Mytilus edulis: one gene and its partners. Each later gene encodes a partner of the first gene's protein in a complex. Links are inferred from orthologs where the notes say so. Each region holds a gene or a part of one and is shown on either strand. Other genes may lie near its edges.

Region 1 (10,746 bases):
TAGAACAGATTATTGGATATCCTTATCATATATATATACAATGCATGAACTATCTTATTTTTAAGCAAAGTCAACATTTGTGATGTTCTTTTTACAATTTACAATTTCTATGTATAAAATGACTCACTTCTCTGTCTAATTGGTCTAGAGAATCTAATGTCATTTGTACACCTTTGTGTGTGCTGGCAAATGCTACCCATTCTGTAACTATCTTTTCTGCACCCAAATTGTACTGTACACACAATTCTTGTACTGAAATAAGACATCAATTCAATTCAAAACATATATAAATAACGAACAGTTGTATGTTAAATAATTAACAAAGTACATTGTACTTTTGAATACTGTAAACTTACTAATTATTGCAAGTGATTTATTTTCAGTACTTTCGCAAGTCAAAAACTATCGCAAATATAAATCTTCGTGAATATATAAACTTGAACATGTTTTTTTTAATTTAAAAGCATCCCTATAAATAGCAATATCAGGGGGAAAACTGGGAAAGTTAAAAATACTTAATTTAATTTTGATTTATATTTTGTTTATTGCTAGTGGCATGCTTTTTTTATGCATACAATGAAATCTTGATAAACCTTTTGAAAGCTCATTTCAACTTGTGACAATAGACCACTTTTGAGTTCATCTGTCACCGGAAAAAAACTTGTCAATTAGACACGCCTTTGTGACCTAATTTACCAGATAGAGGGGTGGCCTGTATCCCTGCACTACCAACATTCATCAAGCGTCATAGTGATCATCATTCTGCAGGATAAACTAGAAATAATGTTTGTTTTGTAAGTACTTAATCACAATTCCCTAATGACAGCAGAACTGATTGTCAAATCATGAAATGAGAATTAAGTTTGCCGAATAAAACATGCAATATAGTATTATACATTTTTTGTACATGTTATTTTCCAACCACTCGCTCAACATAGAAATTGAAGTGAGGATGCCCCTAAATGCATGAATGATGTTCACTAAAACCAGAGTTTTTGACGGAAATGCATGGAACTCGAAAGTTGTCTATTCTGATATCTGTGGAAATTTATTCATTATCAGAATTAAGGGACTTTATGTCAGGTAAAAAAATGTTTGTAATTCCAGTACTTTCAAAACATGTGTGGTTGTTTGATGTATTTTGTTGGAAAAACCTGTTTTCCATAAAACCTGTTTTCCATCATCAAACAAGCTGTAACTGCTTGTAAATAACTTGTAAATGATTTAAGTACACATCACAGTTGTGAAAATAAGTCTAAATCACACACAAAAAAGTAAGAAACTTAGTGTATGTTTAAACCGAAAGTTTGAATTATAATAAATCAGAATGGCACATGTAAAAGAAGAATCAAAGAACTGATAGCTCTGAGGTGGAAGAAGGTGAATAAAAGGAAACTTGAATTACCATAAAAGCAGCCCCACTAATCCAGCCTGCTTTGTTCCATTATCGTTATGACATAATTTTTTTTCTTCAAACAAGAATGTGTCATAAGTACATGGATTTCACATCCGTACAATCATTTTCTATGTTCAGTGGACTGTGAAAATTAGGTACATGTAAGTCTTTAATTTGGCAGTAAAATTAGATAGATCATATGATAAGAAACACATGTGTACTAAGTTTCAAGTTGATTGGATTTGGACTTCATCAAAAACTACCTCGACCATAAATTTTAACCTGAAGCAGGACAGATGGACAGACCAGAAAACATAATGCCCATGCCCTGTTTGCAGGATTCTAGTTATTAAATCGGTAGAAAAGATGAACATGTATTTAGCAGACCAGGGTTTATTTTCTTGTGCATGAATATTAGATGCTTGTTGAAATTTCCAATTTTGAATTATGCACAAAGATGGACCTTTGACAGATTGGGAACAACACTCCAAATGAGGGGTAACCCTCATTGGAAGAACAATACAACCCACTGTAAAAAATTAGCACCTTTATATTCATATTATTTGATGAAGAACTATGCATCTATCAAGTATTCATGTCAAAAGAATTTTGTGATGTTTCTAAACTTATATCTTCTTTATTAGTTTGACCCCTCATTTAGAAAATTGTTCCAAATATAATGAATTTTCCCACTTTTGAGTTAAAAATTTTCTTTCTTTTTTTTCAACAGTGAAATGACCCCTTGTTTTAGGTCCCTCATTTAAGGGACACCACTCATAATATGGGGGGAGGGGGGGGGAAGTCCCAACCTGTCTGTTGGTCTTTGTGAAAAAAGAATAGTATGTTGTCCTTTAAATGATTTAATTGAATACAAAAATAAAAATATGTTACAACAAGTATTATGTCAATAAACATGATAAATTAGTGAAAAACAAGAATGTGTCCATAGTACACGGATGCCCCACTCGCATTATCATTTTCTATGTTCAGTGGACCGTGAAATTGGGGTCAAAATAACAATTTGGAATTATAATTAGAAAGATCATATCATAGGGAACATGTGTACTAAGTTTCAAGTTGATGTAACTTTAACTTCATCAAAAACTACCTTGACCAAAAACTTTAACCTGAACTTCGCACTATCATTTTCTATGTTCAGTGGACCATGAAATTGGGGTCAAAACTATAATTTGGCATTAAGATTAGAAAGATCATATCATGGGGAAGATGTGTACTAAGTTTCAAGTTGATTGGATTTCAACTTCTTCAAAAACTACCTTGACCAAAAACTTTAACCTGAACTTCGCACTATCATTTTCTATGTTCAGTGGACCATGAAATTGGGGTCAAAACTATAATTTGGCATTAAAATTAGAAAGATCATATCATGGGGAAGATGTGTACTAAGTTTCAAGTTGATTGAACTTCAACTTCTTCAAAAACTACCTTGACCAAAAACTTTAACCTGAAGCAAACGGACGGACGCACAGAGGCACAGACCAGAAAACATAATGCCCCTCTACTATCGTAGGTGGGGCATAAAAATACTGTGTATTATCTTTATGTAGTACTGCATCATTGAATTTTGTCACTCAGCCATGCTTTTATTCTGAAGCTGTGTAAGAACCTGCTTGCAGATGAAAATTCACATGCCATATTCACGATTTAATAACTAGATGATAACAACACAAGTTCAAAATCTAGCATGTTAGAATAATCTTCAGAGACAACGTTTTTGATTGGCTTATTAATTGATCATGCGAAATACAGAATTTGAGTGGCTGAACACGATTGCTTTACCTTGGAAACTAAATAAGGAACAGATGATTTTCACTAAATCGTGTTTTAGAGTTTTTTAATGATAGGCCTCCCCTTAATATCAATAATTTTTAATTCTCAGATCTGCAGTGACATCACAACATGTAACTGACCAATCAATGATTAGCATTTTTGTTATGTAAACAATGTTGATAGGTGATGCGGATAAGATTCCTCTAGATTTTCCATAGACTTATTGCAAATTAATTTAATTGATATATATCATAACCAGTTGAATATAGTAATTTTACTCTTTTAATACTGTTAAAGACACTATATACTATCTCCATTTTGATTTTTAACATACTATAACCTCTGGTTAAAAAATAATCGGCAATTTAAATGATCAGTTATCCCCTTCAAATAGATGAAAAATCTAGAGGATTCCGGATTTCATCACCTCCTGACAAATGTAAATGCCAGGATGTCCGGATCTGAGAATAAATGCAAAGACGTATTATAAAACGTCCTTGATAAAAGTAAAGAGAATGAACACGTACTATACGGGCGAAAGAACTCAGGACGAACAGACCAAGGACAGGGCGAACATGTAAACAGGGCTTTACACATTCCAATTTATTTACATAGTTAAATTTAAAAATCTTAATGGTGTGCCTATTTGACTTAATTCCGAACTGTTTTTCTCGTGTCTCTTAACTTTTTTCGATGCCTAATTTTTGGGTACCGAAGTGTCTAAATTTTTTTGATAGCCAAATGTTAGTGGAAGTGGCTTAAAACTGGCAATACGTAGTTTCTATCATTTAAAACATTTACATTTTTCAACAATTTGAGGACTACTGAATTCTACACCGAATACACTAAATTCATCTTCTAATTCTTCTTCTGAAATGAAAGGCATTTTTAAGTGTTGAAATGTTTTGTTGACAAAATTGTCTTTCCCGCGATTTTTTTTTCACTTCCTGTGACTAGGAGTTTAGCCTCAAACAAAATTATTTGAATCAAAATTTTAATTTAAAGTACATAATACCAAGAAGATTGAAAATTAACATATTTTTTCATACTCTTTAGGCTTTGTATATCAAAATTCATTATGTTCATAAAGTTAATCTCTAAATTAGCGTCCTAGGTTTCAAGATGGACGACTGCAACTTGGATAAACTAGTCATAAAGCCCGGAAAATTGTCACCTGCGTTTCATAAAGACACAACAGAATATAATGTGACCCTAGCGAGCAATGTGGAAAAAATTCACGTTGACCCTCTCACCAGTGATACGGGTGCATCATATTGCATTTCTGTAAGAAATTATAAAAAAAAGTTTGGCCCTCTGCAGGCTCTGTATGTATGATATAACCAGACATGCCAGATGCAACTGCATGCCAGTGATGTCTGAAATGACGAATTATAATTATTAAATAACATTGCAAACTTGTACCAATGTCAATTCACACCACTTAAATCAAATTTGTATCACTGTCTGCAAACTCTTGCCATTTCAAACTCTCACCCAGTCCGGGAAAACTCCAACTTACAGATTATAACAAATAAAATTGCAAACATTATTTTTAAAACATTTGTATACTTTGTAAATTGTCATTGTATTTTTAATGTTACAAGCTCGCGATAGTACAAGCTCTCAGCATTTCTAGTTAACATTGGTGTTAGTTGACTTTTAGTAGTATGAGTTGACTAATTGTAGGATAGAGTTTGCAATGGTACTAAGATTTTAACATGATGGTGCCAATTTTACATGACAGCAACATAGTTGACATGCTGCCTGAACTAAATAGGGAAAAGATTTAACCTTACCCCAAAATTTTGCTTTTAAGTTTATTAAATTCTTTATAATGGGACAAAGTCCCCTATTACGGTTGTCCAAATAATTATGACATCTTGAAAGGCTATTATATTTTTTTCTTTGACCCCCTTACATCGACGCATGAAGGTGTCAAAGCAAAAATTTAAAATAGCCTTCCAAGACGTCATTATTAGAATCATATTCAAAACAGTGTAGCTGTGGCCATTGATTGACGACCTTAAATTATTCCATTGACTGGGACAGATTAGGTGAACGTGTGTCTGTAACGACAACTGCTCACCACTTACTTATTATAGAATTTAAACTGTGGGGTCACCAAAGGTTCTTAACGCCTTTAATATTATAATAATTCGAAAAATTAACCAGGAATAACTTTATGTTTTAATTCTTATTAATGATATAAATCAAAACATCGTGTTATTCCTGATTAGTTTTTCTAATTACTTTATTTAGGTGTTGAGAACCTTTTGTGGCCCCACAGTTTAAGTGTCTTTAACAAGTACATAGTGAGCAGCGGTTGTTACAGTCAAACGTTCACATAATCTGCCCCAGTCAATGGGAGAATTTAAGGTCGTTAATCAATGGCCACAGCTACACTGTTTTGAATATGATTCTATTTGGACTACTATTACGGTAGAAAAATCCACTAAAATAATAAAAATTGGGAAAATTCCCTAATTTTTCATTCTACTTGGCCAAGTTTACTTAAAACTTTACAATAGACTTCAGAGTTAATAGATTATCACATGAATGCACTCGAGTTGATATTCAGAACAACTCTAAGTAACTCTAGGGTAGAGGCCCTGACAAAGCATAGAAAATAAATATTCTCATTGGTTTGACGTCATTCAAGAGTTTCTCGAGTTTAACCTTGGCTTGGTGAGAGTTGGAACCAGAGTACGAGGGGTTAACTCGAGTGGTTCAAGTAAAATCGTATTGTTGAAACCCGAGTAAACTTGACAGTTTGAATTGTTTCAAGTGAACTTGGCCCTAATGAACTCAAAATCATTAACTTTATTATTATCCCACATCTGTGCAGAAATCTACTTCTTTTTTGAGTAAAATATATCTTTATTAGTCTAGTAAAATATAAGAAGGAACACTGTACATATCAATTTCATTTTTAGTAATTCTTTGATATGAAAAAATGTTACCTGATGATAGCATTTCTTTGTTTACATTGAATATGACGTCATAACATCACAACTAAACTCCTTAACGACAGAACCAAAATTTTACTTTTATTCTGTCATTTTGGTTTTTTATACGACCGCAATTTTTTTTTTAGGGGATTTATATTCAACAGCATCTATATATATAGTGTATTGCTCAAAAGCAAAAGATTTTTTTTCAAGTTCATCAGACCACATTCATTCTGTGTCAGAAACCTTTAAATTTGCTGTGTCAACTATTTAATCACAATCCAAATTCAGAGCTGTATCAAGCTTGAATGTTGTGTCCATACTTGCCCCAACTGTTCATGGTTCTACCTCTGCGGTCGTATAAAGCTGCACCCTGTGGATCATCTGGTTCTGTCTTGCAATTAAAATAATATTTTGATATCTAAATTGTACAGCGTTAACTGTTATTTTTGTTATTGATTTGTTGACAGGGAAGTGATGGTGGCAAGGATGTTCCTCTTAAAGAAGGTCAAATCACTGATATTAAGATAGAAGTCACTTCTGAAGATTGTACCATAAAGAATTATTTTATACATGCCAAAAGATTATCTGCAAAAGATGCTACATTGAGTGATCTAAAGTTATCAGATGGAGACTTATCACCAGAATTTTCTGACAATGTATTTGAATATTCTTGTAAGTAAAGTATTCAAATCTGCCTTTATTATATCCCAGAAAATTTGAAAATTATGTAATTGCTACACCAAAAAATTGATAACTATCCAGTATATTTTTTCAAGATTAGATAATATCCAGTATATTTTTTAAGATTAGATTTATGGTCAATTTGACATCTTATTTTGATTGTACCTTCATCATGTTCATAATCGTTGTTTTTAAAAAAAAAATATATATAAAAAAATTAAATAAACAAGTATGTAAGGGAATTCATGAAAAAATTAAAAGGAAAGACTCTTAGTTATATTTTTATCATGTAAGTAAATGGCACATGGATTCTTTTTGGCAGCCAACAAGTCAATCTCAAGATAAACTTTATTTGCCTACATGTACGTGTATACCATAAATTTTAGTATTGTAATTTCACCTAATGTATATATTGAATTAGTTGAGAAATAGCCTTGATAATGCTTCAGTTTCTTCACTTAAAACTGGAGATAAACCATATGAGTCATCTGTTATTTTTCTGAAAGTTGTTTGACGCTTACTGGAGTCACAATAGAAGCTGCATTTTAAAAAAAATAATTAGTTACTTCTTTATTTGTTGAATACTTTAGGTTTATTACCCTGCAATTCAGACAAGGTGACAGTAACACCAATTGCACCTGATCCCAAAAATGCAGTTCTTGTATGTAAAGAAAAACCAGGGACATCTACACCTCTTAATGTAGGGGAGACAAATCTCCAGATAGAAGTTACATCAGCTGATGGATCTAACAAACAGGTATACTAAAATTCTACCAAAAACCATTGACAATTATTTCATTGTTAACAAGTAAAAACTTTCAAGAGATATGTTTAAAGAAGAAAAAAACACTTTAAACCTAATGTTAAAATTACTGGATCATTTTGTTATGTTTAAATTCATGTACATTTTGTACTTGAAATTGTTAATGTTATCATTTGCTACATTATTCTTTGTGCTTAGGCCATTTTTAGAAAACAAAAAATGATAGGATTAATATCAAGCATGATGTTTTTGTGCTTGTTTTACCTTGCATTTACAAATGTTTAGAAAGACTGACAGTACATGATTTATGTCAGTCAGGATTCTACTTCGTCAAATTATCTCCCCATTAAGCCAGTTCATTTTCACTATCGTAGAAATGGAAGCCATTGTAGGGATGACGTGCTGCCAATTTTGCCCTTGAAAACCGATAAATTTATCCACATAGCACCATTAAGATCCTTATATGTCAGTTGTATTTTAAAGACAAATGTATCTACTAGCTAATAAGCATCAGTTAATGATTTTGTCTGCATTGATTCAACTCAAATCTATTGTCTGATCGATTGTCAGGTGGAATTTTCTAAAATTCATAAACATTTCAAAAAAATTCTAATTAAATATTTCTTGGAAGGGCAGACTAAAAAATTTCACTTGTTGGAAAATATAAACTCTAGTTATCACACACAAAAAAATCTTTTTTTTTTCTCGAAGATATGCATTTTCATCATCCAACTTAAAAGACTGTCGTCAAGTACTTTTAGTAACAAAAATTAGCTATTCGAACACACTTACTCTGTTTTTGTGATTCATTAGATAGGTATTTCACTTGTCCCATATATTTTATCTTTCAATACTGTGATTTTTTTATGTTATAAAGTCAACCTGTAGCTTTGATATATAAAAATGATAGAAAACTGAAGCGAGATGATATATAAAATATTCTTGCTTTGTATGTTTTCAAGACAAAATATTCAACTCAAACACACCCTAACATAAAAAGATGCACTAGATTTTCTCTTTTCTACACAATTGTTACCCATTTTTTGGAATTTTTTCTTGAGTCACATAACGAAAGGGCAGACACGAAAATTACTGAACTAATAGATTGATATGTTCTCCGTCTGTGGTAATTTAAAAAAAAAAAATTCGGAGGTTATGCATTTTCTACATCCAACTTGATAGATACTCATGTCGTCGACTTGATATCTAATTGTTCTGCTTAACTATGTAAAAGATAAATTGAAAACTTATGCAAATGGTGTTATAAATATGAAACACTTCGTAATTGAGAAGAAAATTGTCATTTTATTTGTTTCTATAAACTTTTAAAATTTGTGTTACTATAGTAAACATTACAGTAAGCATTTATCGCCTTCTCTAACAAAGAGCTTCGATTCTTTTGTTCTATTTCAACTAGGTTTTTGCCTGATGTCAATGGCTGTTGTCTGTAATATAAAATATTTGTACTAGTATACTCAATTTGAAAATTCAGATTCAATTCAATATTTCTACGTATATATTGTTTAGTTTCATACTATATTTTACTATATACACTCAGACTTACAGTTTAGATATTATAAGGAAGCCACTACCCAGATATGTCAAGATAACAGATGATAATTTAGCACAGCAATATGAATGTCCAATATCGCTGAGTTCTTTATACAGACCTATAACTATCAAAGCAAATGACGAAAAACATACATATTCAGCACCAAATATTGATGCATTTACTCGTACATCTAAAATTGACCCTCTTAGTGGAATACCATTGACTGGAGAATGGAGAATTGTGGATTATGATCTGGATAAGAAAATGGCAAATGCTCAGTCTTGCATTCCTCTTACATATGGAGGTATTTAGCATAATTTTATTAAGTAATTACAAAAAAAATCAGGATTTTGCAAAAAAAACATAAAACATAATTTCCTATTCAAATTGTACATGTATTTATAAATAAATGGTTTAACCACAAGTGTATAATGCAAAATATTCCCCTTTTTCACAGAGTAAAATGTTAGAATTTCCAACTGACACTTTACATCTATGCTTTTTGACTTGTTTAAGAAGTATAAGCTTACTTTTCTTAACATTTGATTAATTTGATAAAATGAAGACATAAATAAATGTTCTCTATTTTTTTCTCTACAGGAACTAGTGAAACAAAGAAATATTCAGAATTAGGAAGTATTATCGATAAAACAAATGTTGCACCAAAACCACTAGTAAGTTATCTTTGGTTTTTTTACAAGCATTCAGACTGAAGGTTCAGTTCTATTTTAAATAATTATGACATTTGATTCAAAATATTGGTGAATAAATGCATGACTCATAACCGTATCAAAGTTATCTGCTTAAAATAATATCCTATGTTTTTATGATTATTTTCAGTTCTCCTGTACCTTTAAAATCTCATCTTTATATTAATGTTAAAAAAAAAAAATTACGCCAAACCTTATTTCAAGTTTTGTTGATTTTTTTTCACTTAAGTTAGAACTTCAGAAAGATTTGTTTTCACTATTGCATTGACATTTATAAACAGAAATGTTTTCTTTACAGTATAAAATTTAAGTTCAATCTATTTATGAGCTTTTTTTCACATATTTGAAAGGCTATAAAATTGACCTTATTCAACAGAATTCTGTTGGTTGATTTATTTTTACATAACAATTTTTCAAAGATTGTGGATGGCAGTTTTTATGTTCTATTTATTTATCAAATTATATATTTTCATCTAAAAGTCAACTGACTTATAAAAATAATATCGGTAAAATCACGCTTGAATTCACAGAATATTATCACAATATTGCATATTTTTAGGATGTAAAAGACATGTTCAAGGATGTGACAGCTCCTCTTAATCATACTGTTCAGGTAATTATGAATAAAGAATACTGTACATGTATATATAATTTATTTTCATGTGGGGTTCTACAGAAATATTATTTAGGGATTTTGTGTTGCATTTTAAAATGACATTTTTTTTTGTTTAAACTCATAAAAGGAATTTTGACCACAAACATTAGCTATCTGTATTTTTTAAATAATCTTAACTATGTTCTGTCTTAACTGTTCTACGAAAAAGGTATCATTCTTTTCATGAAACCGAAAAAAATTAAAATATAACCTTTATCAAAAAGATATTATAAGTGTTACCAATCAC
Region 2 (11,010 bases), on another chromosome or scaffold:
TGTGAAATAAACGTGGTTATTTCACTTCTCCGACGTCATACAATAGTCATATATAACGTTGGATCAAAACAAATTGTGAATGCGTAGAAAAAGATATAGTTCCTTGCATTTTCTACTTTAATTTAAAAAAAAAAGCCATTTGCCAATGTAATAAAAAGAAAAACTAATCAAAATATTCAAATATCGAAAAATATTCAACTCATAACCAAACAACACTGATAATTAACTCATGCGCTGCAGGCATTCATGAATAAATGTGTTGTTGGGTCACTCGTTGAATATTTTTCTATATTTGAATTCTTCTATTAGTTATTCTATAAATATTGGATGTCTGCTTGCAAATATTTCTATAAGCAGTTGGGTTGGTAACTCGTTGACATACATCTGGTGGTACAAAAATTTACGTATTTTTTTTAAACTAATCAATATATTACCATTAGTGCCCATCTGCATAAACAGATTCTTCACATTATCCCATTCGGTGGAATTACCATTGGGCTGTGGCTTTGTTGGTACCAGACCTCTGAAATGTCATATATAGAATAGTTTTCAGTACTATGCACTGGACATTTAAAATGCACTTTCAAAATTGGTAAGCAGACAATAATTTTTGACACATGAATCGATTTGGATAGCAAGTTATGTTTACATATTGATTTTATTCAAAATCCTTGTGGAAACAGAAGTTTTTAGAATAAGACATTTCTAATAGAAGTAAGGAAAAAATATTATACCCTCAGGGTTTAGCTAGGATTTTGAGGGCTTTAGTCACTTTTGAGCGCTATAAAAATCAACCTTTTGCTGTGTAACAGCAAGGGACCAAGGATGTATATTACTAGCTTCATCTTTGACTTAGTCTGATTTTAAAGAACTAAGGCATGATTGGCAGTTATTGTATGATTTGACTGTATTGTCCCTTATTATGATAGATTCTGACATGGGATCCGGAAATTTACTTCTCAATTTCTCTTCAGTTTGTTCAGGGGACATTCCTGATTAACAAAAGTTGGATCCCTTTTTTTTATACAAGGAATCACAGCAGAAATTAACCTGCAACTATTATCTCACTGCATAATCATTATCCTTATAAAACGTCTAAATCGATATTTGGAAATCATTTCTATTAAGTTGGAACTGTATAAAATCCTTTTTGGAAGGATTATAATGACTGTAAGGAGGTTTTAAACAAATCAAGAATAGTTAATATTTAAGTACTACTTTCAATGTTTGTTGAATATTTAACACAATAAGATCAGGAAATATAATGCCCCTTATTTAAATAAATTGTAAACTACATTATGTCAGAGACAAAGACTACAAAACTGATTATCTAATATGCCTTGAAATCATAAAACTTTTGAGTCAGTTTTTTAACTCGTACTCCAAATTCAACCAATCAAAATGCTGGATTCATGTTTCGAGCAAGATTTTTGTGCTCCGAGCACTGAGCAAAGTTTTATGACTTTCTGTTATGGTATGTAACTCTGTTTACTACAGACAATCCACTTATCAAATGAGGAGTTATTGTACTAAACTGAAAAAGCTGATATCTTTAAATCAACCTCATAATTCTTACCCAATCAACATCAGGACACCAGCTATAATCAGAAACACCACTGTGTACTTGGATGCTGTGCAGAATTTCTGTAAAAGCAAACATAATTTCAAATTTAAAAAGTGAATGATCAATCAATGATTGCATGGGATAATAATTTTTTCAACTCATGCTTCCACTCAAATAAATCAAGTTGAAAATTTTGTCAACCCTGATATTTATGAGATGAGTACCGGTATTAGGTCTCTTATATATAACAAATATCATAAATAATAATTTACTAAGCAATTTATTTTTAGATTCACAAATAAGTCTTACGTTTATTAATGCATTTAAGATTGATTGATTGATTACTGTGTTGTTAATGTATCAAGATAAATCCCTGTTAACTACAAAATGTATCAAGATAAATCCCTGTTAACTACAAAATGTATCAAGATAAATCCCTGTTAACTACAAAATGTATCAAGATAAATCCCTGTTAACTACAAAATGTATCAAGATAAATCCCTGTTAACTACAAAATGTATGCATCAATTCAATATCAATATTTGTGTATTACACATGGTTATAACAGAAATAAGATAAAACTTACAGATCTACAGGAGGTGGGATTCGACTCATCTTTTTCTTCATAAAAGAAGTACATAAATGGTAACAGCAAGAACAGACAGAATGTAACCAGTGCATACAGTGCTAAAATAAAATTTGTTTTTCGTTCATTTTATTATATAAATAAGGCCATTAGTTTTCTTGTTTGAATTGTTTTACATTGCCATTTCGGGGCCTTTTATAGCTGACTATGCAGTATGGGCTTTGCTAATTGTTGAAGGCCGTACGGTGACCTATAGTTGTTAATTTCTGTGTCATTTTGGTCTCTTGTGGACAGTTGTCTCATTGGCAATCATACCACATCTTCTTTTTTATATGAATGTTCACTTATAGCATGAAACTTTAATAACACTGCAACTTGGAAAACTGAACAGAAAGTCATGACAAATTATCTTGGAAAATTCAACAAAAAGTCAGAGAAATTAGGCTGACTTTAAAGTTTTAGATTGCAAGGTCACAGTACAATCAATTTAGGGCATGAATTAATTAGATTGCACACATAATGATATTGAAAATAAAAAAACTGTAAGATAAGATAAGATAAGTAAAAAATATGTCTTTCAAGATTAACTACTTACTGTAGTATCCTATGGCTACTGTATTCTCTACTGAGTCTCTGGTATCTGATGAATTTGCCCATTCCTAAAATGTTTTATTCTTTATCAGTAGTGTCTAAACAGAATAATTCAAAGTTCTTCCAAATAACCGTAATGAGTCATAGACATCCGACATGCCATTTTTATTTGGGACACAAAAACGCTGAAGCATTACCTAAAGTGGTAGGTTTTTTTTAGATCTTTAAATAAATCTCCATACATCTTTTAAGAAACTTGTGCGAGAGTCAAAATATCTAGTGGCATTCTTGCATGTATTACATAAAACAAGAACAACTGCAAACAAACAGATTGTTTATCATGCTGTTAGTCTTACCTTGAAAGTGCCATCACTGTTCTTCATAAATGAGGCTAGAAACACATCTATTGGTACCAAACATACTGTTAACAGGGCAATGGTAAGGGAGATAATCCCAGATATAGTTGTTGATAATGATGGATCATACTTGCTCATAAAATACTTAATATATACTACTGAAAACAGCAAGGCAAGCTAAAACATAAAAAAAAACTTGGCACAATTTGATATGAAACTCAAAGAAATAAACTGTAATTTGTAAAGCAAGGTCATCTCATTTTTCTTAGAATTTTTAATTTTTAATTTGTGCTTCCAAGAGTATCTGAATAATTTCTTGTATCATATCTTTCAAAGGAAAATTCAACAATTACACACGCCCTTATGACATCATTTACAAGATAGAAGGTGCATCTGTATCCATGCACCATCAAAGTTTGAAGCATTATTTGAATGGTCATTCTGCAGAGTAGTCTAGAAATAATGTCCGTATGTACGACTGAAGGGAGGGTGACCAACTAGAATTAAAATTTGATTTCCCATGCATATATGTAGGTCATGTGGTTATGAAGGTTACATGACACATACAATTAACTGCTGTATCTCAGATCAGGTGTATCAATTTATTGATCAGCCTCAGGTGGTCACATAGATTGTCATAGTAGAAATAGATGAAAAAGGGGTCTTTTTCTCGAGGCCTTTTGGAACAGACATAGAGAGTTATCCAATTTTTTTACACCAATAAATAAACAAAAGAGTGAATACATTGTACAAGTGAGATAACAACGAATCCATGACAACTCGCCCCACTTTTAAAAAAATAGCCACACTCTTTTTTGACGACAACTCCCATTGAAAATAGGTCCTGACAACTCACCCCACTTACGAAAAGTTTGTAAGTTTAAACTTTATAATATTAATTATGATAAAAGCCAAAACTGTATATATAACTTATAAAGTTACATTCATAAAAATTTTCTACAAACCATCTACATTGAGTGCTGTACATAGTCTGAAACAAAGCCAAAAATAATTCTAAACAAAATTACACTTATACTCTTATATCATTAGAGGTGTTCCTTTCTATAGAAACTTATACAAAGAAGCAGAAGAAAAGGGTTAAAATCCTGCTGAACATGCTGAATAAAGGTCTGCCAACAAAAACCACAATGAACTTCATCATGCCAATAGACCATTTTTAGAGTTCATCTGTCACCGGAAAAAATCATCAACTAAGCGTGCCTTTATGACTTCATTAACCAGATAAAGGGGATCGCCTGTACTATTAACCTTCATCAAGCGTCTTAGTGATTGTCATTGTGCATGGTATAAACTAGAAATAATGTTTGTTTTGTAAGTACTTAATCACTATTCCCTATTGACAGCAGTGCTGATTGTTAATTATGAGAATTTAATTTGCCGAATAATTTGTGCAATATATAGTATAATAGTTTTCCAACCACCCGCTCAACATTGGAACAGAAGTGACCATCCCCCTAAATGCACGAATGATGTTCACTAAAACATGTTCACTAAAACCAGAGTTTTTGATGGAAATGCATTGAACTCGAAAGTTGTCTATTGCTGCTATTTACAAGTGGGGCGAGTCTTTTGCTTCCGATAAAAACACATACGAGATGACAAAATTACATTACTCATCATTAGTCAGGTTGGGAACAAACCCCCTGTATGGTGATTATACCTCTATAGAAGGATCTATAAAGGGGTATTTTTGTTTGCACTGGATTTAAAGCAAATTAGGGCAGAATGGCATTTTCTAGTTATATTGGCTATAATCTCTAGCATTATATATATGCATCAACATATGCACTTTACTTAAAATTGGGATAACCAGTTTTCTGCTAAAGTGACAAAACTTGCAATCTATTGTAAACCTATCTGAACACCTGATCAACAACAAAAGGAATAGTTGACCTTTGAATTTCATGTTATATCTAACAATAGAAATTCTGTTCAGTGAGGCATAAGTGAGTAGAATTTACCTGATCATCACAGCTTTCAATCATGGTGAACAATAGCTTTTATATTTAGTCAGATAAGCATCAAACTGGGCATGTATTTTTGTTTTTGTTTTGGCCCTTTTGTTTTTGTAAATATATATATAGGCCACGCTGCGCGCGCAAACAGTAAATAATCTTCAGATCATTGAAGGACTACTGAAAACCTAAAGAAGAAGAAGAAGATGTGCATATTAAATTAAGTACATCAATTGGTGCATCAACTATTCCAGGTTACTGCCATAATAAGTAGAGAATGCCATTCTGCCCTATTTTGATTTTAGTCTAAACAAAAATACCCCTCTATAGAGGGATAAATTTACCCCTCTATAGAAGGATTATCCCTCTATACAGGTATAATCACCATATAGAGGGTTTGATCCCATATGAAAAACAAATCAATGTGTTTATGTTTTTGACAATTTCTATAGTTAATAAATTTATTTATGTTTTGCTGTAGGGACATGATGAATACAGACTGAATCACAGTAGTCAGTACCAGTGAATACAGGGGCCATTCAACTGAATTAAAGTTTTACTGTGAAAATCTGATCAGGATAAAAGATGACATGACATACTTACAATAATTATCACTACAAATGGAACCCAAGTAGCAGCAAGTGCTCCACTCAAGCTGACCATTTTGTTTTTGTTTTCGTTAAACGTCAAAGTAAAGCTTTATCTAGAGTTATCATTGTTTGTAAGCGTACAGATGCAGTTGAACGTAAAAAAGTTTTTAATCGACAAAGTCCGAAAGTTCCGAAAACATTTGTTTTGAGCGGGAAAGGCAAACAACAAAAAAGTCAACAAAATGGATTTCGCAGGCAACAGCAAAAAATCTGGACGATCCGCAAGAAATAAGAAACAGTTCAACCGCGTTGGTCATAATTTACAGTTCTACAAAATACCACCAACGGGGGAAATATCCCTGCAAGAGTTTGAAGAATATGCAATTGACAGATTAAAAGGTGCCCTAAAATTAGCCAAATTTACAATTAAGATAATCAATGAAAATCTAAGCAATTCTCCCTAATGACTCACAAATAACGTTATTGAAAAAAAAAATCCTGAAAAAATGATATAGCAATAACTTCTGACTAATTTTTATCTGGATACACCGATTTCCTGAGAAGTTCATGATTCGAGAACTCCCCAACAATACACCTTATCGCTATTTGTCCGCCATTACTGAAAATCACACAGGTTCCCTTAAAATTTTGACGTCATAATATAAAATATCTGACGCCACAATGGAAAAGTGCTTGTTGTATGCGTCAAAAGTTCAAGCGGCCTGGTCAGCCGGGATTAGTGATAAGGTGTATAGTCAATACGACAATACATCTCATAGGCGGATCCTGGGGGCCTGGCCCCCCCTTTTGTGGGAAAAATTTGGTTGATTATATAGGGAATCATTGAAGCATGACTGGAGCCCCCCCCCCCCTTAGGAAAAGTTCTGGATCAGCCACAGCATGTTATCGCTATTTGTTTGCCATTACTGGACATCACACAGGTTCCCGTTAAATGTTGATGTCATTATACAAAATATCTGACACCACAATTGAAAAGTGATTGGTGTGTGACGTCAATCATTTGTCCATAGTTCAAGCGGAACAGATTCTTGGGTCACCTGGGAAAAGCAATAAGGCATATAGGCCCCTTCACGGTTAGTATAGCCATGTAGAGAAGGGGTCAGATCATTTGAAAGAGGTGGAAATTGTATAATAATACAGGAAACCCTATGCACATGATGCATGTTTCTAAGAAACTGCTCTGTTTTATTGATGTTTTCCCAAATTTTTCAGACCTTTTAAACCTGCATTATGAAAATCTGCCTATATTCAATATGGCCAAACTAACTGTAAAGGGGCCTATTGAATATTGACCTGAGAGCCGATATATTATCTGAAATCTTTATAGGTTTTAAAGTAGATACATGTACTTATGAGATATTAGTCATTATTTACTTTATAATGGTACCATTTCACCTCAGGAATTTAATTTCTGCGTCTTTACACAGAGTTCACGAAAACTTTTTTTTGACCTGTCGGTCATGGGACTGACAAAGCAAGATTATTTGTCAGTCCTATAAAATTTTAGCCAGTCCTTAAAAATCTGACAATTTTATCCTGAAATAAAAATAATATCCTCATTTTGACCGATAGGACCATTTTCGTGAACTCTCATGCTTTACACAGATATGGATAACAATATGGTAGACGTAGTAAATATTCAAAACGCATATCGTCTAAGATTGCAAAGTTGTGACACTTAGGGATTTCCACTTTATTGGTAATATCATGCTAAGGCCATGGAAAATTAATTGTTGGTTTCCCCTAACATGGAAAAATTTTAAAGACCCGGTAGGCAGGCTCTTTTTTTTTTTTTGTAACCATGCTTAATTTTATATCTATATGTTTTGTTTCTACAGCAGAACTTTAATCTTGTATATTTCAAACACTTTGTGTTATCTCTGGGTTTTTTTTCCAGAAAAATTAAATGACCCGGTCGGGTTAGGGGAAACCATGAATTATTTTTCCATGGCCTAAAGCATTTATCATGGGCAACTTCAAAAAAACTTAATCAGATATTTTTTATTGCAATTTTACTCATATCATCATGCATGAAAAAATGGAAGTTGTGAATGTTCTTGCATATTATTTCTTTTAACTGTTTGCACTATTACTGTTTTATTCCTCTCTAATCATTTCGTTGAGCTCGGGGAAATCATAGCAATGTTATTGACAGACTGACTATATTTCTGAAGCTATTCATCAATTAAGTGTATAAGATTGTTTGCAAATAATTAAAAATTATTACATTCACAGTGAATAATATTTTCTCCAAGGTTTTGTTGGGTCTTTTTTCTTTTGTTCAATCGTCCTGAACATGCATGAAATATTTGACACTGGATGGTAAACAACCAACAATCAAATCAATTGTTTGTTCAAGGTTGGATTTTTTTCTATTGGTTTGCATATATAAGTGTAACAAACGTCCAATCATTCATTGTCATTGAGGATATAACTTCATCTATTTACAGATTTGAAGTTTGATTGAATCACCTCCACTTAAATGCTATTCTTCAATAAACACACTTAATATCAACTGCCCATTGATCCATACAAAAATCTTTGAAGTTTAAATTGAAAAATGTGTAAATTAAAACCAAAAAGTTCTTCTCAAAATAATATATTTAAATAATTGAATTGAAAATATTCTTATTTTTGGGCAATTATAGTTCATGATAGTTACCTTTATTCATTTTAGTGTTATATAATTTTGAGCAGAAACCAAAGAAAAATTATGAGGCTTTAACATTTTGTATACCTACAAATGTATGTTTGAACATAGAAAGAAAGACCTTCAAATACAGCCATTTAGGATTAAGATTATTACTGCAAGTCTCCTATTGTACCAAGGTTGTCATCACTTGAACATCAAGGATAAAAAAAAAGGGTGAATCTGTATTGGGAACTACAAGAATTTTATTTTATTTTATAATACTTTTATATATATATTTTTTCGTTCACCGTCTGGTTCACACCTGATTTGAAATTGTGCACACTACCCTAAGCACCCTTTCAATAGTTTCATTTTTGATTTTGATCACTTAAATGTCCAAGGTTCTTCAGAAAGGGGCACACTTTTCTCTCAGATATTCATAAGCTGAAAGGGGAGATTTTTTAGTTTGAACTGAAATATCTGATATGCTTCAGTTTGTTGGGTATGTTTTGTCATAATGTTTAATAGAGTTAAATTTCATTTTAGTATTGAAAGCTGTTGAAGTAGCTGGGATTCGTCTCATGAAGGGTTCCACTGAATACATTCAGAAGCTACAAGATGAACTGAGAAAAACATCATTAGGACATGATCTTATACGGGTAAGCAGGGATACACTATTTTCATAAATGTAGTAGGTATGCTGAAACAATGAATTGTCCTCAGTTAATAGTTAAAGAACATGAAGCCAAGTCACTTGGTATTAATAATACTTTGTAAAATATTTATCAGAACTCTTTAAATACAAATCTCTTTTATCTTAAAACTGATATAATATATACTGATGCAACCAAACTTCTATTCAAGGGGAAACAACTCTTGTTGATATGATGATAATATAACACCTGCAGATTTTTGAGTCAACATGTTCAAGACAAAGTGTGCTGTATGTATACTTGATAAAGTTTTCTTTTGAATATAATGCCTCCAAATTGCTGTAAATTTATAACATTTTATTTGTAGACGGACAAGAAAGAGGACAAAGACTTCAGACAGAAAGATTTAGTCTCCCATTTTATTCTGAGGCTTGCTTACTGTAGATCGTAAGTTGTTATGACTGTCATTGTAAAGTAGATGGTAGTTGAAAGTTATATTTTAGAAAAAATGACATTATGATATCTTGTTATGGCTTGTTTGGTATAGGAAATGGAAAGTTCCGAAATTTGTGAAGCAATATCTAATATAACCAGTATTAAATGTACATGTTGATTTTAACAAGTGGTCAATTATTTTATATATGTGAGACTGTTTTACCTTTTTATCTGATGCCTTTTATTTTTTCAGAGAAGAATTAAGAAGATGGTTTATGCAGCAGGAATTAGATTTGTTTCGATTTCGTTTCTTGAGAGAAGGACCTGATAGCAGGGATGAATTCCTTAGAGAAAACTCTCTGAATTATGAACCCGTATGTATTTTACTTTTTCTTTGTTATCCTTCCAAAGTTTCAACATTAACATCCAGTTTCTTCCTCCAAAACCACTGCAGCTTGTGAGATTTTGACAAAATCACGGGTAGTGTGTTTGATTTATGTTCATATCAACCAAATATCATCGCACTGTTACCAAATAAACAAAAGTAGAAGAAAGAAAATTCAGCGGGAAAATCTAACAAACGGGTTCTGGCTTTAGCTGGTTCCTAAACAATTTTGTTTTCTAATTCGATAAAATTGACGCCACACCAAAAGTTTAAAAAACACAAAACAAACAAATGTTAGGTGCAAAAGTGTGGGATGGTTAAACATTCTTTGTGAGATGTCAACCCTACCCTATTCTTTTAGCAAATGTGGAATAAACAAACACATCATAAAATTTGAATTGTCTGTTATTTCATTGAAAAGTAAAGGTGTGTATTGTATCTTTGATCTTGTTTTAATCACATACTATGAATTCTTGAATATTATAGATTAGTGATGACTTAAAGACAGAATTGGATGGTGATCTTCGAGCAGCAGCAGGGAGTAAATCAGGAGTTGTGGATACAATCGAATATTTCAAGGTTTGTATAAAGTAGTTACGAACAGTGTGTAATATCTGTGGCCTAATTACTTTGCTTTAGTCTATTTGTCCAGAAGCTTTCATGCTGGTTAGAATGTGTTTCATTATGTGTACATTGTAGATAAATAGTTTCTGTAATGCCAGTTTGATTTGACAATTTTTGTGGAATTCTTCAATAGTTTTGCATGTCCCATCTTCCATTCTGGTTTTTATATTTCTTTAAATTTGCTATTAGAAATAAGATTAATGATATTTTTACAATTCCATTGTTGCCTGAAATGATATAACTTTATTTTACAGGTGCCATTCACAGAAGTGTTTGATTTGGTCAGTAAAAGAAAAGTATATTTAGAGGATGGATATGCCTATGTGTCCAGAGATGATATGATTTCCATTGTAATTACACATTACAGAAGTCATCTATCTCACTCATTGGCTGTAAGTAAAACTAGTTAGGCTAAGTTTAAGATGATTGCAAAGATCCAAAATGTTTTAACAGAAAATATTGTTTCAGTATTTCAAAGATTACATTTTATACTTAATATCATCCAGTATATGATCTCATTAGTTGACATAATTAAGTGAATTAAATAGCTAAACAATTTCATGAGTTTCTTTTTCTCCAATTTTACCGGTAGAAATG
Region 3 (11,404 bases), about 6.9 Mb from region 1:
TGAATTACCAATCAAATACATTATGTATGCCAATTGAAACAACTACCACCTTTAAAGGTTTTGTTTGATAATTTTATAAACATTTGAATACATGCCACCAGATAAGTTTGTCAAGATTTGACAATACTTCTTTTAGGTCTTTCCCTCCCAAATTATCTCCCTTACTGGCTGACATAACTTCCTGTTTACACCTGTGTCTTTTTTTTAGCATTAAATACTATTCCTTATCCAAGCCATCCTCTGTTTACATTAAATTTAAAGCAATATTTAATTAAGATATATTGATGATTGGTTGACAAATATCGACATTTTATATATCGTCGCTGTTATGCAAAAACCTCGTATCTCAATTTTTTGCGGAAATCTTTTTATCGATTATTAAGAATTAAATATGTATGTTCCACTGAATGCGAAAATATCTGATCTTCTAACCAATCATTAACCCGAATTCTGACAAGTGACGAAAAAGTGTAGTCGGATTGGTGAGACATTTTGTTGTGCGAAAATATCATATCTCAAAAGAAAAAAAAGATGGCACTAGCAGCTGAGATTATAAAAGGTACAGTTTTGTCAATTTTTTGTCTAATATATTATGTATAGCTTAGAAATAATGAAAAGCTTTGAAAATACAATATAGGTGCAGAAATTTTTGCTCGCCTTGGTAATTGATTGGTTAGAAGATACGATATTTTTGCATACATTGGAACATAAATATTTAATTCTAAATAATCGATAAAAAAAATCAGTTTTTATTGCCTGGTGTAAAATTATGAAAACCTTAGATACGAGGTTTTTGCATAACAGCGACGATATATTTACACAAAATTTTCGTTTTGTTTTATTCCCTTATCCATTTGAAAAAGAGCCATGTATGGTCAAGTAATCGTAAAATACGGGCTTATAATGAATCCCTTGATAACAGGGATGCTTCTTTCAAGCAATACAGGTTCGACAGTTCGGTTTTAAACGCAAAAAAAATAATGATATAATCGTAGATGGTTCAAAAAATGGTCGAGACAACGTTGTCAGAGAAGGGGGTTAAACTTCCCTTATATAATTTAGAAATGAACTTTTCAGTACCCGAGACATGTATTATATGTCTCTGTTAGCACTGTCCATTCCTTTCATACGTTTCGGCATCTTTATAAAGCGAAAAAATGTAGTAGTGTTCTGTTAACCTTACGACGTTTAACTTGGCTTCACCCAAGCTGGACATCGAGAAAGTGAATTTCTCAAGTCTAGTATCAGCTTGGGGTTTGTTTTTCTAATTATATCCTCTTAATTGTTTTCAAAGGGTAAAATTCATTACTGTAGAATTGCTGATTAAACAGGTATTAGTTCGATTGGGTGATAATTAATACTTCAAAGACTAGCTCATTGAAGCCAATTTGATCGTTGTTAAAATCAGTGTTTGTTCAAAGTTCGTTAAACAAGTTTGTGAATGTCGTTGGGAAATGCGGTCAATTTATTTCTTCTCATTTCATTCATATATGCCTCTATATATTCATTAAATAGATGTCAATGTTGAAATCTTTGTTTATTTTGATCTCTCAACGACGCCATTTTGTAAAATTTATTAGACAGGTCCCGCGGAGTTACTTTAATACAACGGAAGTAATTCTTTCAAAAATCGTTAACCAGTCAATCACGTGATCCGAAAAGAAAAATAAGCGGGAAATTTTAAAAAATACGAAAAAAAAATATAGCGACGCGGTTGAACAGGATAGCGACGCGGTCAGTGCAATAGGACAGCGGGAAATTGAAATAGCGCTGAAAATCGCGGCGCTAAAACGGCCTGGGGAGAACACTGAACACAAATTTGATTCAAGTTAAAAGAGGGGTGAAAGATACCAGAGGGACATTCAAATTCATAGAAAAAATAGACTGACAATGCCATGGCTAAAAAAGACAAACATTTTAACAAAACTGCGGAATTCCCTCTGTGACGTGTTTCTAAATATATAAAAACACAAAATATAAATACTGCTTAATTCTGATTTTCCGTGTTGAAAAAACGTGCATATGAAAAAAGGGCAATATCGAAACACTTAGATCATGTGAAGAAAATTATAGGAAAGTTGTTTAAATTCAATCCATTTGTTTGTTTTTACCTTTTAAAGCAAGAAAATCTTAAGAATCTGAGATGTTCCTTAATATTTAGAGTTAAACGGTTGACGGTTAAACGTATCCCAAAAATGAAATCAATTGTATTGATTGACATGGACAATGGATATATGCAACAACAATAGGCATTTACTGTGGACCTGAGTGGACTGTAGTCTTCATGATATACTTTAAAAGGCCATGGCTGAATAATTTTGAGTTTTACAAAAATATAACATAAGATTAAATTCTCTGAGTACAGACAAAATTGTGTAATTTGAAAAGTGTGAAGCCTGTCAACACCAAGTTATATACAAGTTGTTTTCATTTTGTATTAAAAAGACAACAAATAAATAACTTTGTGGAGGTTAGCTAAACATGTTCTATCCTTCCTTCAGGTGGTGTAAAAATAAACAAAGTATGGTGAAATCTTGGAGGTGAGTGGACTGCATCAATTATATAATCAACTAAAAGGCAGTGTCACAGGTATGAATAGCAAAATTGCCGTTCATAGGCTATGTGTACCGACATCTGGTATCATAAAAACAAGAATGTGTCCACAGTACACGGATGCCCCACTCGCACTATCATTTTCTATGTTTAGTGGACCGTGAAATTGGAATAAATTCTCTAATTTGGTATTAAAATTAGAATGATCTTATCAAAGGGAACATGTATACTAAGTTTCAAGTTGATTGGACTTCAACTTCATCAAAAACTACCTTGACCAAAAACTTTAACCTGAAGCGGGACAGACGGACGAACAAATGGACGAACAGACGGACGGACGGACGAACGGACGCACAGACCAGAAAACATAATGCCCCTCTACTATCGTAGGTAGGGCATAAAAATGCCATCTGATCAGGAATGAAACATGAAATATAAACGGAAATTATCAATAATATGGGGATTTCGTGTAAAAAGAGATAAGTATGAGAAATTATATTTTCAAAATGTAAGTATTTAATAATAATATATAATAAACATTGAAAATAAAATGCACACTGATGAAGAATGAAACTGTACAGTCCCTGTAAAAAGAAAAAAACTGATAAAAATTAATACTATTATAAAATGTAAATGCAAATTTAAAGAATTGAATTTTACTGAATTTATAAAAATACCCATATGAGATTTAAAAATAATCTTTTAGTAAAATGTAAAACAGAAGATGATCAAATAAACATTTTGCTTCCCTGGCAATCAGGTTTTGTCCATCTTTAGTCACTCCAAGTTTAAAGTGGAAAGGACATTCCATTTGAAATGTACTAAAAGTAGGCATATCCTTTATACTAAGAACGGTTTAAAATAGGAAAACTAGAAGTATTCGACATAAAAAAAACTTGACCCGAGACTACTATAACACATAGTAGTCTCAGACTTGACTAATGAATGAAACACGGCAAATTCGATTTAAAACTACACTTTAAAACAAATACCTTGAATGAGGCCTTTTTTCTATCAAATTTGTTTTGATTTTTTGCCTCCATGAATACACAAAAAATGTATTCTGTTAAACTTCATTAAAATTAATCGGCTGTTCTAATAGACGTATTTACACTTGAATGCAAATTTGTCCGCCATTACGTAGAATCACACAGGTTCCCGTAAACTTTGACATAACAATTAAAAAAATTTGACGTCACAATAAAAAAGTAATTGTTGCATGACGTCAAAAGGTTATTCCAAGGCGTTTCATTCCCGATCTGATGGCATTTCATTATAAAACCGGATGTGGGTATGCATAGCCTACGAACGGCAATTTTACTATTTGTACCCGCATGCAGGTACACGCAGACACTGCAGGGCTGCCAAGTCGCATGCATCTAGGGTGAGACTCACGCATGCTTATGCTTTTAAACATCCTATTTTGGCGGCATTTTTCCCTTGGATCTTTTGTTTTTTCTCTTTGATCTTTTCATTTTTGGCCAAATCTCACGCATTTGCTTCATGAAAAGTTGGCAGAACTGACACTACCCAATTAAAACTCAAGTGTTTGTTTATTTCACCATCTTCTATGACAAGAAAAGAAAAATGTTCATCAAAATCCATAAAGCTTAATAACTTTTCAAAACATAAATTAAACATTGATGCAAAATTTATTGATCTAGATGCTGCCAGGCTTTTTAACTTTTAAATTGCTCAGTTTTGTCTGTACATAGACATTCATAGAGATAATTGTATGGTGTTAATACAGTCATTTTTGTAAAAGTATGTTGATGAACCTTAATGTTATTTTGTTATGCTATAATTTTGTATTTGATCTCAGATAATCTCGCTCATTCAGTCATTGTCAAACAACTGTTGATGGCATCTTGAAATGGTTGGATTCAGTCTCACTCAGTCTCATTTCTCATGTTATCGTGTTTATCAAACAGATCCTTATTTGCATGTTAGTTTACCATAATCATCGTTATTATCATTGTCATTTTCATTTCCAGGCGGATCAACAGCTGGCGCCATTTTTGTACTTGGCGGGAAATGGAGTGCGTAATAGACAAAACCAATTTCGAATAAGACTGAGTATTTCCGTGTGTTCTTTGTCTAGATCGTTTTTCAAGTTAATAAACTATGAAGCTGAACAAATCTGCCGGTGGTGATATGATAAAGTGGCACTAACTACGAGATATATATAAAAAATCTAATAATTTTTTTTTCTCAATCATTTATGACATGCAAATAGTGAAATAATTATTCGCTTTTATTAGCCCGTATGGTTCAATTTTGTGTGTGATTGGGATGGGCACTGGCTGGGCGAGGCTGGGTTTAATAAGCTAAAAAAAAAACATCGATTAAGAATTATTCACTTGCAAGTGAATAATTCGACCCAATAAAATAATGAAGTCACTGATTCAATTGCCAATTGAATCAGTGACTTCATTATTATTTTACATCTCTGAAATGTATGTATCAACAGGGACATATTGTATGTCTGGTATCAGCAACTATATTGGAATTCAAAGTTTTCACTCAGAAGAATCAATATTTATATGATAATGGATCATAATGTATACATGGAATTGAAACTTGAAATGTTATGATATTAAGACAAATTGTAGAACGTATTTGCAGATTATATGTGCTTTCTATACAAATGTTCACTGACCAATTCAAAAAAAAAACGTATATAAAAGAGGGTGGTAAAAATTATTTTCGTGCAACGTGATCGCCTTTTTTTATTTCACGTTCAACGTGTTTTTACCTCAGTTTTTATTTCAAATTGACGTTCAGTCGTGCAAGACGGGTGCCTCTTTCAACGTGTTCTTCTTATTTAATTTTACGTGCATCGTGATTTTCAAAGTCTTATTTTGCGTGCTCGGTATTTTTCAAATAAAATTCAAACACTTGGCAGGGATCGTCAAGAAATACTTTTTTAAAAGCCGTAAACCAATAATATCATAAATGTGTATACTAAATCGGGAATATCAAGTAAAACAAAGAGTTAATATATACAAGAAGACAGTGACTCAGTCACAAAAGGTTCAAATAAAAGTATTTATTTTTCGTGCAACGTTCATTACAGAAATTATTTCACGTTCAACGTGAAATTATGTCTTATTTCAAGCCAGTTTTTTTCGCGCAAGGACCCCCTTTACCACCCTCATAAAAGAGATAAATGCATATTTATTTTCGATTTTAGTTATAATTTAACGAGCTAAATTTGCATATAAAATCTGTGGCATAGCCCCTTTACTGTATCTTGACCTTTATGTTTTTACCAACTATTGATTTAAAAAGTAATAAAAATGTTTTGCATTTCGAGATTTATTTTCGTGATATTTTTGAAAGATTTAGTGGTGATATTTGTTCTCTTGAATTTATCTAGTTCCTCTGTCCAAATTTAAAAAGTTAAAATGACTGTACTAAGACAAAAGAAAACTGAAGTGAAGACAAGCTCGTGAGTCACTCGAATTGAACCTATATATTTTCGTTATCCTTCGTTATCCTTCGTTTTAACTAGACACAAGTTACCGTTCTGTATTTATTATGTAGATGCATCCTTATATGCCATATGTTCCCAGAAATTTAATTTTTAAAATAAGAATATAAGAAAACTTGTAAAACTTCCGCTACTATTTTTCCTGGTGCAATTTTGGAACTGGGGTGTTTTAGTTTTCTGTTAAATCTGACAAATATTTGTTTTTCACATGTGCTTGAATGATAATTATTTATAAATCGAATGATCATATATCGACTGGTATTTCTTTTGTTCGTGTCCCAACAAACAAAATTTATTTGAATAAAACATTTTTAATCAGTGATTATTTAGATCAAACTCCTGTTTTGGCAACCATTGTGGCATTTGAATATAGGTTTCATTTGTTTATTTATATAATGGACGAATTAAGATTAAACTGGTCTGTAATTAGATTTTAAGTTTTTTCGTCTCTTTTTTTTTTTATTATAGTGGAATTAGATGATGGTCTAGACATTTCTAGACGGGATCCTTTATTTCTGTATTCTTTAATATCTAAATGTTTACCCTTTTTGAATTCATTTCTTTATTTTCAATATTCTCTATTTTTTTATATTTTAACACCCCATTAATTTCTATTCGTTATCAATTTTTCTTTTTTTTTCTTTCTTTTTTCGCAATTCGGCAATGCGTGCCCTTTATTTCTTAGTCGGTTGGCTATAAAGACCGGAGTTCTGAAGCAAAAGTGTCTCATAATTCAGTCATGGCTGGATACCGATATTTTAACTTCCATTAAAATTTTATTTGTATTTTTATACTAATGTTATGATGTATGATATTGTTCTGTATTGGTATGTGACACTATAATAAAATATTCTGTCTGCCTGTCTGTAAACCCCACTCAAACCCACAGTCCACTTACATGTACATCTCTCCAATTTTGCGGAACTTAAGTTCAGTGATGTTTGATATAGGTCTGTTAGAATGGAAGCAAGTTGGTCTGCTTTCAGTGATTTTCAGTATAAAAGATGTTATTAAGTTTTTATCCCGTATTTACATTTTGATAAAAATTTCCATATGGACTATTTTTTACCTGATCAAATCAAATATGTAATAGAAAATATACCTTCATGTGCTACTTTTTGAGTTAAATGAGGTCGAAATTTTGTATATTTGCTCAAAATTCGGATTTGTGGCCGTATTTTCCGTTTCGAACGAAAGACATAACTTTTTTGTTTTTAAAAGATAAACACAAATTGTGTTTTGTTAAGGTCAAGGATCAGTAAATGAACTAGTCCATAGATTTTTTTAAAATTTACAACTCAATTAGATATTGAAAATATACATCTGAAAATGTAAAAAAAAGTATAGGTCACCGACTTCGTTTTCGAGAAAAAGCCATTTTTTAAATGGTCCGAGAGTGTACCAAATTACATTGAATATATAGGGAAAATCAGTTTATTTTCTTCTACAATTTTCGGTTTCCGGTATAAATCAAGTGAACCACTCCATAGAAATATTTGTACATTTTTTATTCAGAAATAACTCATATTTATCAAATGTTCATGAATGTAAAAAAAACATCATCAGTTTTTGCTGTATATTTATCAAATTTTAAAAAAAATGCACCGTGGCTATTTACGTTTTCATGAAAATTGGTACACATAATCGTCTCGCGTAATTAAACCAAATGGCATTTTAAAAAAGAGGGTCCATGAACTCATTTTCAAGTTAAATAAGTTTGAATGATAAAAATCAGTCGAAATCTGAATCTTTTCCCGATAAGTCATGATAGTTTGACGTCGCGAAAATAAGGACTAGTGCTTTATGAGGTTTAACATTTTCCAACCTTTTGTGGACTCCGTTTATAATGATTATGCTAATTTTGATATCTTTCATGGTGGAAACAAGTGACTTCTCCCTTTAATTTGGAAGTTAAAAAAACAAATTTCTTTTGTAAAAACTGACTTTTAAAAATTTAAAAAGAGAGGCGAACGGTACAAAAGGGACATTAAAATTTGAACTCATAAGTCGAAAATAAACTAAAGTTTCACGCCATGGATAAAAAAAAAAAGACAAACAAACCGGCAACACGGTACACAAAACGCAACATAGAAAACTAAATACTGAGCAACACGAACTCCATCAAAACAGTCTGGATGTGATCTCATTTGCTCCGGACGGGTAAGCAGAGCCTGCGCCACATGTTGCACCCGCCAGGTGTTGCTCATGCAAATTAAAATATATAAAACTCTGTAATAAGTCTAATTCGGTATGTCAGATTCGGCAAAAAGGGAACGGGATAGTTAGTACCTCTCTACTAGGAAAATCTTGTTTATTTGCTTCCTTGTGAGTAATTCCCTCTAGCAATTAAATCGAGATAGGCCTTGAAATACGGCAATCGAACAAAAAGTCACAGGACAGAAAGTCACAAATTTAAAAAGGACAAAAAAATCACAAATACATGTAGTTTATATATAATTGTTTAGATATATCTAATCGGAAGTTTTTGAAATATTTTCTTTTCATCACGTCAAGGATTTGTATATACTTGATCACGTATATTTATTTAACAGTTAACTTTAAGAAAATTGGTGGTTAAACTTGACTCGTACACAAAGATTACAGAGGCATATTTAGCGAAAAATCCATGGGTACCAGTCCCCCTTTTTGGTTGGTTATTGAGGGAATCATTAAAAATGTTTGGGTCTGCTTTGAGACTTTTCAAATTTTAGTTAAACAAAGGATAAATATTTCTTGCGGCACCATGATACCAAGTCACTTTGACACAGTGTCAGTTTATTTTAACAATCATTCGATTATATAAATGGATTTTTTTAAATATATTTTGTTTCCAAAGTTGTTTTATATATAATAGTTCAAGGAAAGATAAAATAAAATTTTATTCAAAGAAAAATAACCTGCGACTTTCTGTCCGTATATTCAGGACTGTCTCCGTCTACGGTTTATATTTTTATAATCAGCAAAATTGATGACGTGGAACACAAATGCACAGACGAAAAAGTAAACAGATGATTTTCAAGACAAGTCGTATTTTATTATAGATATTGTTGCGTCATTGTAAAAAGACAACCCGTAAAGGTACTGAATATTCAAACTGTTTCAATTCATTTGAAAGATTAGCGTGTTTGTTCAAAATGCAGGTATTTAAAAACCTAATATTGAGCTCGGCTAAAGTTAAACTGTGAAAACGTACATTGATGATAGTCTAGTCATAGTCAAAGTCCATATGTTATATATTATAAATAGCTTTTTAAATACTGATTATAAATCATCAAAGTCATTATGTAACGAGTTTCTTGTAATTTCAACGTTATTTAATTTATTGAACCCATTCATGAATGAATAGTTCAGTGGCGGATCAAGACATTTTTAATACTGGGCCTGGGGGCCCATTGACTGCCTAAGAGGGGTCCCACTCCAGTCATGCTTTAGTGATTCCCTATATTATCAACCAAATTTTTTTAACAAAGAAGGGGGGGGCTACAAAATAATTGCAAAGGAACCTGTTTATTGTATCACAATCAATAACATTTTTATAACAATTTAAGGATTCTAATTTAATAAACAGCAATTTATTTTTATAGCAATTAACAGATTGATTGGTTACTTTTGTCTTTGAATTAAAAATATTCAAAACAAAAAGACATTAACCGCATAGGATCATACATTGTACAAAGAAGAGCAGGTAGATTTGTTTTTAAAGACTATAGACGTACTAGTAGTGTTACCTCCATGATGAAGGACCTTGGATGGAAACCTCTTGTGGAAAGAAGACTAGAACAATGACTGGTACTACTGTACAAAATAGTGAATGACCTGGTAGCCATCCCTACGGAACATCACATGGAATTTAATACTAGACCATCCAGAACTTCTAACGTCAAACAAATAAAACTTTTATCAGCAAATACTGACATTTATAAACATTAATTTTTTCCACAAACTATCATTGATTGGAACTTACTACCAAATACTGCCGTGAACTGTAAAACTGTGGAAAGTTTAAAGGCAGTTATATCGCACATCAGTGGTGCTCATCAGTGGCGCACACACACACTTCCTGTATAAGTTTTACTCAGTATTTTGAGTTCATTTCCAGTATTATACAGATACAGCCAGAATCAATCATTAAAGAGAAATTTAATGCTTGTTTTCAAAATTATGACAAGAAAATAATTTAAAAATTAACAAATTGCATTTTTATACAACCGCGAAAATTTTGCAGTCATATATTGGAATCACATCGTCGGTGTCAGCATCGTCCGAAGACGGATGGTTTCCGGATAATAACTTTAGAATAAGTTAATAGAATTCAATAAAATTTTAACACAATGTTTATTACCACATAAAGAAGCTTGGGATTGATTTTGGGGGTTATGATCCCTTTGGTTCAGGAATTAAGGGCCCAAAGGGACCCAAAACATACATTTATCTAGTTTCAGGACAATAAGATGTGTATAAGTATTTCAATTACTCTGAAATTGTACCACAATGTTCATACCATTAAGTAGAAGGTTAGGATTCATTTTAAGGGTTATGGGGCAAACAGTTTAGGAATTAAGGGTCAAAAAGGGGCCAAAACAAGCATTTTTGAAGTTTGGGGACAATAACTTATGTTTAACTGTATAGATCTCTCTGACATTGTACCACAAGGTTCCATATAATGAAGGGATGTCAGTTTGGGGTTAATATCCCTGAACATTTAGGAATAAGGGGCAAAAAATTGGCCAAATAGAAGCATTTTTCTAGTTTACAGACAATAACTTGTGTTTAAGTGTACGGATCTCTCTGAAATTATACTACAAGGTTTCTTACTACAAAGGAAAGGCTGGAATTGAATTTTTGGGTTCTTGCTTCAAGGGGGGTTTCAATTCGAGAGGGGCCAAAAAAGTGGCCCAAATAAGCATTTTTGTAGTTTACAGTCAATAACTTGTGTTTAAGTGTATAAATCTCTCTGAAATTATATCACGAGTTTCCATACTGCAAAGGGATGGTTATAGGGGGTAATGGATCAAATCATTAAGCAATTACAATGTAGGGGCAAAAAAGGGGGGGACAAGGGTTTTTCTGGTTAAAGGACAATTTAGACAACTTAAAAGCAGTGTAAGGGAGGTAATCCAATTAAAATTAAAATTTAAAGAATACTGTTATATAGGTTTGATTACTTGATTACCTCCCTTACACTGCTTGAAAATTATTGTTAAAGGAATTGATTATTTAATAGTTATCCCATAAGGACGCAGTGTGTCAGTGTAAGATCATCCCGATGGCCGGAGGCCAGAGGGTGATCTTACACTGACACACCAAGTCCGAACGGGATAACTATTTTACATCCCAGCTGTTTTAGATGAGACGAAA

What was found.
Region 2: DNA polymerase alpha subunit B-like (region 1) and DNA primase large subunit-like share a complex: the UniProt entries of both Drosophila melanogaster proteins name them as parts of the alpha DNA polymerase complex. The link is inferred for Mytilus edulis from reciprocal best matches to the Drosophila melanogaster genes PolA2 and Prim2.
Region 3: DNA polymerase alpha subunit B-like (region 1) and DNA polymerase alpha catalytic subunit-like share a complex: the UniProt entries of both Drosophila melanogaster proteins name them as parts of the alpha DNA polymerase complex. The link is inferred for Mytilus edulis from reciprocal best matches to the Drosophila melanogaster genes PolA2 and PolA1.

Annotation. Positions count from the first base shown.
Region 1 is NC_092346.1:69,958,701-69,969,446, reverse strand, and holds the start of DNA polymerase alpha subunit B-like, read right to left. Parts: upstream 4,136-10,746; 5' UTR 4,074-4,135; coding exon 3,989-4,073; intron 253-3,988; coding exon 128-252; intron 1-127. Other genes in the region: uncharacterized protein, read left to right, coding at 4,310-4,471, 6,606-6,810, 7,410-7,576, 9,141-9,438, 9,735-9,808, 10,404-10,457. UniProt on the Drosophila melanogaster protein: Accessory subunit of the DNA polymerase alpha complex (also known as the alpha DNA polymerase-primase complex) which plays an essential role in the initiation of DNA synthesis.
Region 2 is NC_092344.1:119,329,317-119,340,326, reverse strand, and holds the start of DNA primase large subunit-like, read left to right. Parts: upstream 1-5,841; 5' UTR 5,842-5,905; coding exon 5,906-6,062; intron 6,063-8,862; coding exon 8,863-8,975; intron 8,976-9,336; coding exon 9,337-9,416; intron 9,417-9,657; coding exon 9,658-9,778; intron 9,779-10,275; coding exon 10,276-10,368; intron 10,369-10,667; coding exon 10,668-10,805; intron 10,806-11,010. Other genes in the region: probable lysosomal cobalamin transporter, read right to left, coding at 435-523, 1,577-1,644, 2,151-2,251, 2,746-2,809, 3,098-3,274, 5,677-5,736. UniProt on the Drosophila melanogaster protein: Regulatory subunit of the DNA primase complex and component of the DNA polymerase alpha complex (also known as the alpha DNA polymerase-primase complex) which play an essential role in the initiation of DNA synthesis.
Region 3 is NC_092346.1:76,908,874-76,920,277, forward strand, and holds the start of DNA polymerase alpha catalytic subunit-like, read right to left. Parts: upstream 4,616-11,404; 5' UTR 4,570-4,615; coding exon 4,509-4,569; intron 1-4,508. UniProt on the Drosophila melanogaster protein: Catalytic subunit of the DNA polymerase alpha complex (also known as the alpha DNA polymerase-primase complex) which plays an essential role in the initiation of DNA synthesis.